2 linked regions of the Nothobranchius furzeri genome follow. The protein of the gene in region 1 purifies or fractionates together with the protein of each later gene. This does not show direct contact. Links are inferred from orthologs where the notes say so. Each region holds a gene or a part of one and is shown on either strand. Other genes may lie near its edges.

Region 1 (5,950 bases):
ACTACAGTTGACAGCATCGGTGTTCATTTTCTCTCAAAGCTAGCGGTCACCACCGACAAAGTACGGATTCATTTAAAACAGGGATTTCATCGGTTTTCTACCTCTGTGCTGTGAGTGGGTGCTCAGACTGTGGGGGTGCATTAGAGCAAGAGGGATCACTCCAGACAAGGCTTCAGCCCTCTCCAGTCACCCTGCTCTGCTCCAGCCCAGCCCTGCCATCACTGCAACCACAAGTTTCCCCAGCAGGGAGGGGGGCGCCCAAGTACCTGAACAGAGCCTTTTCTGCTCCCAGGATCTGAACCGTGGATGCAGGGTACTTGGCCAGGTTGGTTAAACTGCCGGCGTGAGAAATCAGCCGAGCTCCAACCTAAAAGCAAAAAAAAAAAAAAAAAAAGAAGTCAGGCAAGCACCACTGGCAGATCTACATTACCCTGCATGCCAGTTACACACATCAGGGACCATCAGCACCAGAAGAGTTTCTCAGCACATCAAATCAGTGGATTGACAGATTTAGGCATGACATCATTGGTCCACATAAAACTAGATTAAATAAACTTGTGCTCACCACTTCTCCGATTAAGGCCGCCAGGTTTGGTGCCACCTGGCTCATCTTGGAGCGCAGGTACTCCTGCAGCCCCAGCCGATAAGCAGCCAGAGAAACGACACGATTGGAAAACCTCTCAATGTTGATGAGGTCGATGGGAGAGATGTCCATACCTAAAATAGAAACAACCCGGAAGTGGTGAGCAGAAGGAAATTCATGATTCTGTTTGGTTATCTGAACCATGAGCTTGTTTCTCCCGACAGGATCCGCAGTGAGGGTTTGTGCCTTCACTACAGGTTTATGAGAGAGTTTCTTTACCCCCCTGTGTTAGACACCAAGGACATTTAGAGGTCCAGGTGGGCAAAAAAGGGGCACAAGTTAAAGCAGGAACACATTAGCACATGTTACTCACCCATTGAGGAGCGAGATGCATCCAGGATGGCCTGGGCCTTGGTGCTGTCCATCACCACTTCCTCCAGGCTCTCCAAACTCTCCTCAGACAGCTCCTTTCTGTTACCAATCAGCTGCGCCAGGCGACAGTACATGGAGTTTTCAGGGACAATCTTAATCAGCTCTGGAAAGTGGTAACCATACCACTCACTGGAAATAAAACCAAAACCCTTGTGTAAAAACAGGTGGTACAAGCTTAGGGTTTTTGGTGATTGTGACAAATCTCAATACAACCTGTCTCACCCAACAGTGTTGCCCTACTAGACTAAAGCTAGCACAGCACAAGCGTTAGGAGAGGTTCCTGTACCTCCTGTTTCTATACAGACAGCTCTCTGTGGTACGCTGCCTGTGGTAAGCATTAGGAGGAGTGCTCAAGAAAACATTTCACTTATGAAATTAAAGAAAAATGAGCTGAAACGCTCAGCAGAAACATTTCTTACAGATTCTAACCAGTATACCCCACATATGATCAAATATAAACCTTCAGATCAGAATCCTACCGGACACGCATAGAGAATGTGTTGATGTCTTTGTCGAGCTGATCCAACAGAGCGATGGACTGGATGATCATGTTGTCAGCCCTGTTGACGTTAAATTTGACTTTAGCTCTGGAGTAGCTGTGACCGAGACCCAGCTGTGCCTTGGATGCGGCCTGGGCAGTCAGACCCTTCACCAATGAGTGGAAGTGCAAACGCAGGCCTGTTTGAATCAGAGAAATGGCTAGGTGTGTTAGTTCGTACTGGGAGGGAATAGTGAAAGAATGCTGTTTTTTGATGGCTGTTCAGATTTTCAGTATGAGCCTTCATGAGCATCAGGATCACAAGATCACATCACAACAGCTTTGAAATGTTCAGAAGACGTGAAGTCAAAATCCATCTGTAAGTGACCTGATTGTTATGGCTTCTTAGATCGAGCCATTAATAAAACTTAATTCTCACCTCTTGTTATTTCAGCCACCACGCCACCAGTCTGGATGGAAATATTAAATTCTTCTTGAAGAGCAGCTCCAATTTTGGCATCAGAAACTCCCAAAACAGCCTTCTTTTTTGCTGATTGGGGTAGGTTTGTCTCCAAAAACAGCTTGAGATCTGCATGAACCACACCTACAAACAAATAATCATAATTACCATATAAATATTTTTAAGGTAATTTATTTAATCCACATAAACAGAAGTTGGGTTAACAACTGGAGGCTTAATCCAGACCACATGGAGATCCTCAGATGTTCAGAGTTCACATTAGGCTGTCATCATATTAACTCAGTGGATTGACAGATTATAACACATCATTACTACTGAGGATGATTTAATCTCAGTGAGACAAAAACTGAACACTAACCTTCAGAAATCGCGTTCATATTCTCCAAGGCTGTCTGGGCCGACTTAAAGGGGAAGAAGGCGGCCAGGTTCACTATGCTGTTGAACTTTGCGACGCTTAGCACGCTCTCCTCTACCTGTCAGACATAAACAGTGAGCGATCTCAGCTCCGGCAGGCGAGAATCTGGGGTTTGATAAATCCTGCACTCACCTGTGGCAGCAGCATTCCGATCTCCTCCACCTCTCTGACGGCGAACAGCGCGTAGCCCGCCGCGTGCTCGAACAACACACGGAGCACAACCTGCACAAGATAAATCAGAAACAGGGTTTGACACAACTTAAGGCGTCGGAGGGAAGCTTCCTGCTCGACGGAAGTGTTAACACTAGACTGCACGTGGTCACCAGGAGGCAGCCCTAATTTAGGTATGTTGCATTCAGCTTACTGTCCTGTGTTCACTTTACGTGTCCACTTTTAAAGTTCAACAAACTAACACAACTATTTACCCGTAACCACGTCGCCTTGAAGAACCCACGTGTTGACCCGGGCCCACGTGAGCGCGCTAATAACCTAGCGTGCTAACAGCCTAGCAAAAACGTGTTGCTTTTAGACAGTAAAATTCAGTTGCAATCCTCTTGAATACGACCAACTTATTCAGGTGTGTGATTTCTGTTCAAACATTTAACCGTGAAATATAATAATATTCCCACTAACGTCAACCAAAGACGGTTTCCTGCTCCTCTGATGCTAGCAGGCCTTCGACGTGACTTTAGTAACGCCTCTAAAACTAACAATGTCTTTTTAAAAGTTCACTAGTATAAAAGAGTAACTAACAGTAACGAAGAAAACTTTGGAGCAAGGTTTGGATAGTTAGATTACCGTTTCTTACCATGTTTGTTAAATCTCTGCAGCAGCACGCGCCGCGTGTCTGCTAGTTCTGCTTTACCTTTCGAGAAAGACGTTTCACTGAGCTGGAGCGTGCCCCAAGTACCGCGTTATCTTCCTATCACCGCGAGATCTGAAACTGCTGCAGACCTCACATCTGCAAAATCTGCTTATAATCAATCACACTGAAGTTTAATTGGCGTCTCAGGCTAATTAATATGGAAGCGTATGTGTTACAGAAATAATATTATGCAGTAGCAGAAATGATATTTCATTTTCATATTACCACTGCCAAATTTGACTCATAAATAAAATTAACAAGCAATCCTCTGCTTTTTAACTTTCTTCTTCATCATTGCTTATTCTGTGACTTAATGAAAAGAATAAAGAAAAACACATTTAAGATTTAATTTTTAAATAACACTCCAGCAAAAATGTAACAAAATTAAATTTGAAATGTCAAATTTGAAAATTAAACTGCATTAGAAGAAATGCTATTTCATATTCACAACACAACTGCATAGTGTGATTCACAATCAAAATGAAAAAGCATTTCTCAAAACTGCTTTTTAAGTTTCTTATTCATCATTGCTTATTCTATGACTTCATGAAAAATGATAAAGAAAAAGGCATTTGAGAACTAGTTTTCAAATAACACGCCAGCAAATGTGTAACAAAATTCAATTTGAAATGACAAATCTGAAAATGAAAATGCATTTGCAGAAATGCATTTTCATTTTCACTTTACAACTGCTTAGTGTGACTCACAATTAAAATGATATAGCAATCCTCTTTTCAACTTTCTTCTTCATCACTGCCCATTCTGTGACTCAATGAAAAGGATAAAGAAAGAGGAACTGGTTTGTCTTTTTCATGCCCGCCCTGCATTAAGTTCCATAATTCAAATTTTTTTTATTATTTTTTTTTATTTCTGCTTTTAAGATCTTACAAAAACATTCCTGAACATTTTGGATTAATATACAACGTTATTGACTAACAGCACGTACACATCAAACAATATAGCAAAAGAGAGAGAGAGAGAGAGAGAGAGAGAGAGAGAAGGAAAAGATATAAATAAAAATACAGAGAAGAAAAATAAACAAAACAATGCTCTGAATGGCTGAAGAACAACAAAATGAAGACTTTGGAGTGGCCTAGTCAAAGTCCTGACCTGAATCCGATTGAGATGCTACTACATGACCTTAAAAATGACAAGACGACAATGGCGGCGGCGGCAGTAGCACGCAGCGGCCACTCCGGAGCCAAATGGTGCAACGTTGTTTATGTTTGTGCATTGTGGTTTTTATTTTTTACTCCATGTATGAATATTGTATGATTCTACCTACATACTAAATAAGTTTACGGTTTTTCTTTTTTTCCTTTGTACTACCTACTTAGAGAGGACATGTCATGTTAGGTCAGTCTGTTCTGTCCTTAGATAGTGTGATCTCCCTGTTATTTTTATGTTGTAAATTTATGTTGCATGTAGCGCCTTGGTCCTGGAGGAACGTTGTTTCGCCTCACTGTGTACAAACCGTATATGGCTGAAGTCAAATTCAAAGTCATTTTATTGTCATTTCTACTACATGTGCAGGACATACAGAGAAACGAAATTGAGTTTCAGTGCACACAATTCAAAGATCAGACATACATGGGTAAGACACATGACAAGAATTGGTGACTGCGATCATTCGGAACATGAGTCGCGCTACCTTAGTAACAATAAAGTCTAATTGATTGATTGATTGATTGATTGAAAAGGCGGTTCATGCTAGAAAACCCTCAAATAAAGCTGAATTACAACAATTCTGCAAAGATGAGTGGGCCAAAATTCCTCCAGAGCGCTGTAAAAGACTCGTAGCAAGTTATCGCAAAAGCTTGATTGCAGTTATTGCTACTAAGGGAGGCCCAACCAGTTATTAGGTTCAGGGGGCAATTACTTTTCACACAGGGCAATGTAGGTTTGGATTTTGTTCTCTCCCTAAGTAATAAAAACCATCATTTCAAAACTGCATTTTGTGTTTACTTGTGTTATCTTTGACTAATGGTTAAATGTGTTTGATGATCAGAAACATTTTGTGTGACAAACATGCAAAAGAATAAGAAATCAGGAAGGGGGCAAATAGTTTTTCACACCACTGTAAGTATGCCTGTCGGAATTGCATGAAGTACAATGCTGTATTCATTTAAGGTTACTGAAATTTTATATTTCATTAGAAATTCTGAATAAGTAAAAACAGCCTTCATTGTTAAGTAATTGGGAAACATTCAGAATAGCATTGCTAAACCAGTTATGGAAAAAGGATTTGTTTTTGTACAAAATATTGCAGTTATTCCAAATAAAGCATCTGTGTGGAGAAAAGTTGTTTTTATGCAAGGGGCCGTGCTAATAATACTTGCTGGTGGAAATTAGATAGCTTGATTGGTATTTTAGAGATATTGTTGCATAGGAGGGTGAATTCTAGGCCACCTAGGTGTGAGAAAACTAATGGGCCATTCCCATCTGTACCGGGTCGGCCCGGGCCGGGTAGCCCCAGTCGGCCCCTGCCTGGCCCGGTTGATTCCACACATCCTTGTCTTAAGCCCATGTGGGCTGATTCTACCCACCAATCAGAGGCTTGCTCTAATAGAAGGTGTGAATTTGCTGTCAGCAGTGGGTGTGTTGGCCCTGGTTGGCCTGAAGCAGACCCCCTCGAGAAGAGGGCTGAGAATGAGCCTTGGTTGACCTGGAAAAATACCAGGCCACCCAGATATGTA
Region 2 (5,840 bases), about 3.7 Mb from region 1:
AACAAATTAAAAACAAGACAAGTTAAATAGGACGACTGTGATGGATGAATCTAAGTGGATGTGATGTGATGTATGGTGATTTAATGATGTGTGTTTATCAGAACCTTGCATCTAGAAGAACTGAGTTCTAGGTGTTCAAAGAATTTGGTTTGCCATAAACTATGAAGTTGGTTCTTATCAAAATGTCATCAGACGCAATCTGACTGTGTTCTACGTACCCCTGAGGAGATTCCCTTTCGGATCCGAGATGTGTGTGTGTGTGTGTGTGTGTGGGGGGGGGGGGGTCGGGTGACCCCAAGGTACCAAAGTTTGTAGAAAAGACCGCAGTACGACCTGGTCGGTCCAGAGTCGTCTCCCGGATCACAACAGATACGTGACATCGTTTGCATCTAGAACAGCTGTTTCTGAATAGCTGAAGGAACCATTTTGCTGTGTCAGCTGTAGGCAGCTTTTAGCTTGTCGAAAGCTTTGGGTTAAAGAGGGTTCGCTTTGGATGGCCTGTCCGTAGCTTTCTCTAGAACTGACTCACCATCTAGTGAGCTCTGTTCTAATATTCTCATATTATGATTTATTGGCCAACTGGGACGTGCCATGTTAAGGGGTGTTAACAAGCAACCCTCAGAACATCACGCCTTCTTTCAGATACAGGATGTTCTGATTTGTGGCTAAGAAAATATCTATGTGTTATGATGTTTAACTGAACTTTAATTTATCTCTAATGAACCTTGTGTCTGAGTGTGGATAATGATTCACTTGTTAAATCTACAATTACTAATCATACCATAATAATATTCATTTCAAACTTCAGTAATTCAAGCACAGATTAATCAAAAGATTATTGATCATTTCATATGACATTTGTTCATTCCATTTCACGATTGATTAACTCATATGAGCTGAAAATAGTCACTTTATTCAGAGGCATGAGGAATCCTGCAGTGTTATCAGAAGAAGGCTTTGTTTGGGAACACAGGCTGACATCGTGTTCCTCCTGAAATGTCAACAAGGTTTGCAGAACCTTGTTGCTTGTTGGAAGGTAGAATGTAAAATCCACCTTAGAGAATGGAATTTATGTCTGCCGGTGACCGGTGGCATGTAGGTCAGTTTTTAGGTGAAAACTGACCATTGCTGGACGTTACATCAGCGATTCTGTTCATAACTTTTATGGACAGGATTTCTAGGTGCAGCCAAGGTGTTGAAGGGATCTGTTTTGGTGGCTTAAGGATCAGGTCTCTGTGTTTTTGCTGATGATGTGGTCCTGTTTGCTTCATTGGACAGTGATCTCCAGCGTGCGCTGGAGCGGTTTGCAGCCGAGTGTGAAGTGGCTGGGATAAGAATCAGCTCCTCTAAATCTGAGACCATGGTCTTAAATCGGAAAAGGGTAGAGACAAGGTCCTGCCTCAAGTTAAAGGATCTCTGTGTCTTGTTCATAAGTGAGGGAAAAATGGAGAGTGAGATTGATAGGCAGATTGGTGCCGCGTCTGCAGTGATGTGGGCGCTGTACCGATCTGTCGTGGTGAAGAGAGAGGCGGAAGTCAAAGCTCTCAATTTACCGGTCAATCTACGTTACTACCCTCACCTATGGTCATGAGCTTTGGGTAGTGACTGAAAGAACAAGATCATGGATACAAGCGGCCGAAATGAGTTTTCTCCACAGGGTGGCTGGGCTTTCCCTTGGAGATAGGGTGAAAACCTCAGTCATCTGGGAGGGGCTCAGAGTAGACCCGCTGCTCCTCCACATCGAGAGGAACCAGTTGAGGTGGCTCAAACATCTGGTCAGGATGCCTCCTGGATGCCTTCCTGATGAGGTTTTCCAGACAAGTCCAACTGGGAGAAGGCCTAAAGGAAGACTCAGGACACGCTGGTCTCACGGCTGGCCAGGAAACTCCTTAGGATCCCCCTGGAGGAGCTGGCCCAAGTGGCTGGGGAAAGGGAAGTCTGGACCTCCATACTTAGGCCACTGCCCCCGCGACCCAACCCCAGATAAGCAGCCAAAAATGGATGGATGGGGTGACCTTTTAACTAGAATAGATCAGAGTTAAGCTAAAACTAATGTATACCTCAGGTTTATATACCTCAGCAGGGTGGCCCAGATTTGCTGTCAGGGTCTCTGACTGGCCCACCCTGAACCCCCCTACAACTAACCCTGCTTTTGAGAGTGTTGGAAGCTCTTCTGAAGAATTAAGTGACTGAATAATGCAGCAGCTGTTGATGGATTTAAACAACTGACCTTTGGAATAAAACTTGTATTATCTTGTGCATTCTCATGTGAATGTTAAATATTTAGCTGGTAATTTTTAATAGTGTGCCATCTTGATCTGATGTTCATATCATGGGATATCCTGGTTTAAAACTGCATAAAAATAATGATGGTCATATTTTCAGGTGAGTTATAAAACTGGTTATTCCAAGTTTTATTAGTTTGACTGTACTTTATAATCAACTATCATACATGGAAGTGCCTGTAAAAAAAAAGCTAAGGTTGTAATACACCTCCCCACCAGCAGGTGGCGAAACTTTCTGGTAGAAAAACCGGAAATTAAACATCTGACCTGCCTAGATAGACTTCCACGTGCGACACTGCAATAGTCACGTTGTCGGTCTCAGCGGTTCATCATGAGGCGACCAAGTAAGTTTAGTTGTTAATTAAGGTTTAGGCGTGTAAATATTTGTTTTATGAGCGTTTATATGTTAGTTCTTTACCATTTGTACGCGGTTTAGCGAACAGCAGCTTCTGTTGTTGTCCTCTAAGCTAACGCTGTCTGATGTCTTCCTTCAGAGTTAAAGAAAGCGAGCAAACGGATGTCTTGTTCCAAACGTTACAAAATACAGAAAAAGGCAAGTGGTGTCGTCATTTTTACTTACTATGAAAGGCCCCTGTGGTAATTGAGATTCACTTGGTGGTCTGACTTAGGTTCGAGAGCATCACAAAAAACTTAGAAAAGAAGCTAAGAAGAAAGGAGTTAAAAAACCGGTGAAGAAAGATCTCGGAGTTCCCAACAGTGCTCCTTTCAAGGAGGAGGTCCTCAGAGAGGCAGAGCAGAGGAGGCTCCAGGTAGGTCCTTCACTCTCTTAGGCATCATCACATTTTATCTACAGAGAGCTTCTAAAGGCTGATGCTTAAGGGATCTTTGCACTGCTTACAATGGTCTTTGTCCTCTGAGCCTTAAGGAGTTTTTATTTTTAGATTGAAGAAGAAAATGAAAGAAAACGACAAGCCAAAAAAGTGGAGCGAGCCCAGAAAAGGAAAAAGGAGAAGGAGGCTGCTGCAACTACAGAATCAGAACCTGATGCCAAGAAGACGCGAGTGGTAAAGGGCCATCTGATCCAACTGGTTCTTAAAAACAAAATCTGACTAATGTCGGCTGAGAAAATGAAGTGGAGCTCTTTGAAAATGAGTTTTCTCAGTTTTAAACTCTTAGATAATCTAATCAGTGCTCTCAAATTCACAAACCACTGGGATTTGTGAACTCTGTGCATACTTTTGCCAACAATTCTTTTAGGTTCAGTAAAAACTTAGATTTGCACAAGAGTAGATGGCTCCTAAACTCATTTAGAAACACGGGAGTAAGGATTTCAGGCTGGAAACCCCAAGTTTATAAACTATTACAATGGGTTTAACAGGGTTTTATTTTTTATTTTATGCTTCATCATTCTTGACCAACATGTCTGTCTTTTATTTTATTTATTCAGGATAAAACATCAAATCGTTCAGAGAAACAAGTAACTCAAAACAAGAACTCGAAACATTTTCTCTGCTCTCAAATAAAAAAGGTAAAATAACTTCATTCAATTCATTTTACAAGGAAGTAAATTTGTTTATTAAGGGTTGATTTTTTAAAATCTGTTGTAGACAATTGATGCCGCTGATGTAGTGATAGAAGTCCTTGATGCTCGAGATCCGTTGGGCTGCAGGTGTCCACAGCTGGAGGAGGCTGTGCTGCTCTCGGGCAACAAGAAATTACTTCTAGTTTTAAACAAAATAGGCAAGTGGACACCGCTAACCTGCAGCTGTTGAAGTCCGTACAAGTTTTCTGTTTGTGGTGAGGTTTTCTGTATTTTTCACCTTCTCATTTGCAGATTTGGTTCCAAAGGAGAACGTGGAGGCGTGGATGGAGTGTTTGCAAAAAGAGCTTCCTGTTGTGGCATTCAAAGCATCGACGCAGATCCAACACAAAACTGTGGTAAGAGGTGCTTTTTAAATGCTAAAGATTGTTTTTGTTTTTTTTAAATCCCGGCGAAAATGTGCAAATGTTTAGTTTTACTGACGACGGAGGACTGAGAAGGTTGAACAGCTTGCACCATGCTGTTGTAACAGGTTACGCCTCCAAGAGTAATTAACAAACTGCACATTTATGTCACTCTGATGGAAGCGGGGCTGATGTGTGCGTTTGTGGATCATTAAAATAGAATTAGAAGATTATCTTGTAATAAAAGTGCCTGTAGGTGCAAGCTTAGGCTGCTTTTTAGACGCAGATTTCATTTAATCCTGTTTTTTGTTTACCAGCAAGCCAAAAAGAGCAGATTTAAACCCTCCAATGATGTCCTGGACAAGTCCAGAGGAGCAGCCTGTTTTGGAAACTCTTGTCTCATTGAGATTCTGACCAGTTTAGCTGCTGAGAGACAAAGTGAAGCTGCTCTCAAAGTTGGTGTAGTCGGTGAGTCGGTTGTATTTTATCTCATCTTCATGTTTTCTGCAAGTTTTGGTGTTTGTTCAGAGTTTGAGATCATCTGATTTTTCCTCCTCTTGCAGGTTTTCCTAATGTAGGGAAGAGCAGCCTCATTAACAGCTTGAAAGGAATGCTGGCGTGTAATGTTGGGACTGTCAGAGGCACTACGAAGTAAGTAAAAGGAAATTAGATTGTATGTGTTTATAAAATGTGTTCTTTCCCCATTGTGTATTACATTTTCTTTCTGCCGGTCAGACATATGCAGGACGTGCACATCCTAAGGAATCTGAAGGTGATGGACAGCCCAGGGATTGTGGCGTCACTGTCGAATCCTGCCGTTTCCATGACTCTGAGGAGCCTGCAGGTGGAGGATGGTCACCTGAGCAAGCTTGATGCTGTCAGGACGCTGCTGAAGGAGTGCAACAGTAGCCAGGTGGGAAGCGCTCTCACTTCAGCAGGCTTGGGCTGATTTTGGTGCCTGTTGTGACGTAGTTGTTTCTTGTAGATCATGCTTCAGTACAACGTTCCAGACTTCAAAAATTCCCTGGAGTTTTTGACTCAGTTGGCTAAGAAACGAGGGTTCCTGCAGAAGGGTGGCGTTCCTAATACGGAGCAGGCGGCTAGCACTTTCCTTGACGACTGGACGGGGTGAGGGTTTTTTATTTATGCTTTGTGGGGATGAGCAGGATGTCGGTGTGGACATGAAGACAAAACGCACATCTGGATTTGATTTTGAAGACTTGTAATCCAACTCTGATCCGAACGCTGGCTGCAGCTACGCTGTGTCACAGATTTGGCTTCTGTCTTGACTTTTAATCCCAGAACTATCGTTTGGTGTCTCCTCAGAGCCAAACTAAGCTACCACTGTAAGGTTCCGGGCAACCACAGCCCCCCCACTTACGTGTCTGACACCGTGGTGGCTAAAATGTTCAGCGGCTGGGATCTCAGCAGGATAAAAGCGGGAAATGAGGAAACGCTGAAAGGTATCAGTGGCTTTTTCCTCTCCAAATTCTTAGGCAGCATTTTCAGTTATTATGAGTTATATGAGCGCCAGAAGCTTCTTCTGATCCTTTCTGTGTTTCTGTTTATTTCCTATGAAGGTGTTAAGTTTCCAAACCTGGCCAGCAGCATAAGTTTTCACTCTACAGGCCCAACAGCTGGTCTGCTGAG

The links.
Region 2: the proteins of nop56 (region 1) and gnl3 purify together in Homo sapiens (affinity purification with mass spectrometry; 4 studies listed by BioGRID and IntAct, with this or other methods). This does not show direct contact. The link is inferred for Nothobranchius furzeri from reciprocal best matches to the Homo sapiens genes NOP56 and GNL3.

Annotation. Positions count from the first base shown.
Region 1 is NC_091743.1:55,549,503-55,555,452, reverse strand, and holds the start of nop56 (nucleolar protein 56), read right to left. Parts: upstream 3,341-5,950; 5' UTR 3,201-3,340; coding exon 3,198-3,200; intron 2,734-3,197; exon of another isoform or gene 2,612-2,733; coding exon 2,522-2,611; intron 2,448-2,521; coding exon 2,333-2,447; intron 2,098-2,332; coding exon 1,933-2,097; intron 1,694-1,932; coding exon 1,495-1,693; intron 1,145-1,494; coding exon 957-1,144; intron 909-956; exon of another isoform or gene 790-908; intron 718-789; coding exon 566-717; intron 368-565; coding exon 267-367; intron 1-266. UniProt on the Homo sapiens protein: Involved in the early to middle stages of 60S ribosomal subunit biogenesis. Required for the biogenesis of box C/D snoRNAs such U3, U8 and U14 snoRNAs. Part of the small subunit (SSU) processome, first precursor of the small eukaryotic ribosomal subunit.
Region 2 is NC_091743.1:51,873,387-51,879,226, reverse strand, and holds the start of gnl3 (guanine nucleotide-binding protein-like 3), read left to right. Parts: upstream 1-2,506; 5' UTR 2,507-2,616; coding exon 2,617-2,629; intron 2,630-2,779; coding exon 2,780-2,838; intron 2,839-2,914; coding exon 2,915-3,055; intron 3,056-3,187; coding exon 3,188-3,310; intron 3,311-3,693; coding exon 3,694-3,774; intron 3,775-3,853; coding exon 3,854-3,986; intron 3,987-4,080; coding exon 4,081-4,184; intron 4,185-4,271; exon of another isoform or gene 4,272-4,394; intron 4,395-4,507; coding exon 4,508-4,658; intron 4,659-4,753; coding exon 4,754-4,841; intron 4,842-4,925; coding exon 4,926-5,103; intron 5,104-5,175; coding exon 5,176-5,318; intron 5,319-5,516; coding exon 5,517-5,653; intron 5,654-5,770; coding exon 5,771-5,840. UniProt on the Homo sapiens protein: May be required to maintain the proliferative capacity of stem cells. Stabilizes MDM2 by preventing its ubiquitination, and hence proteasomal degradation.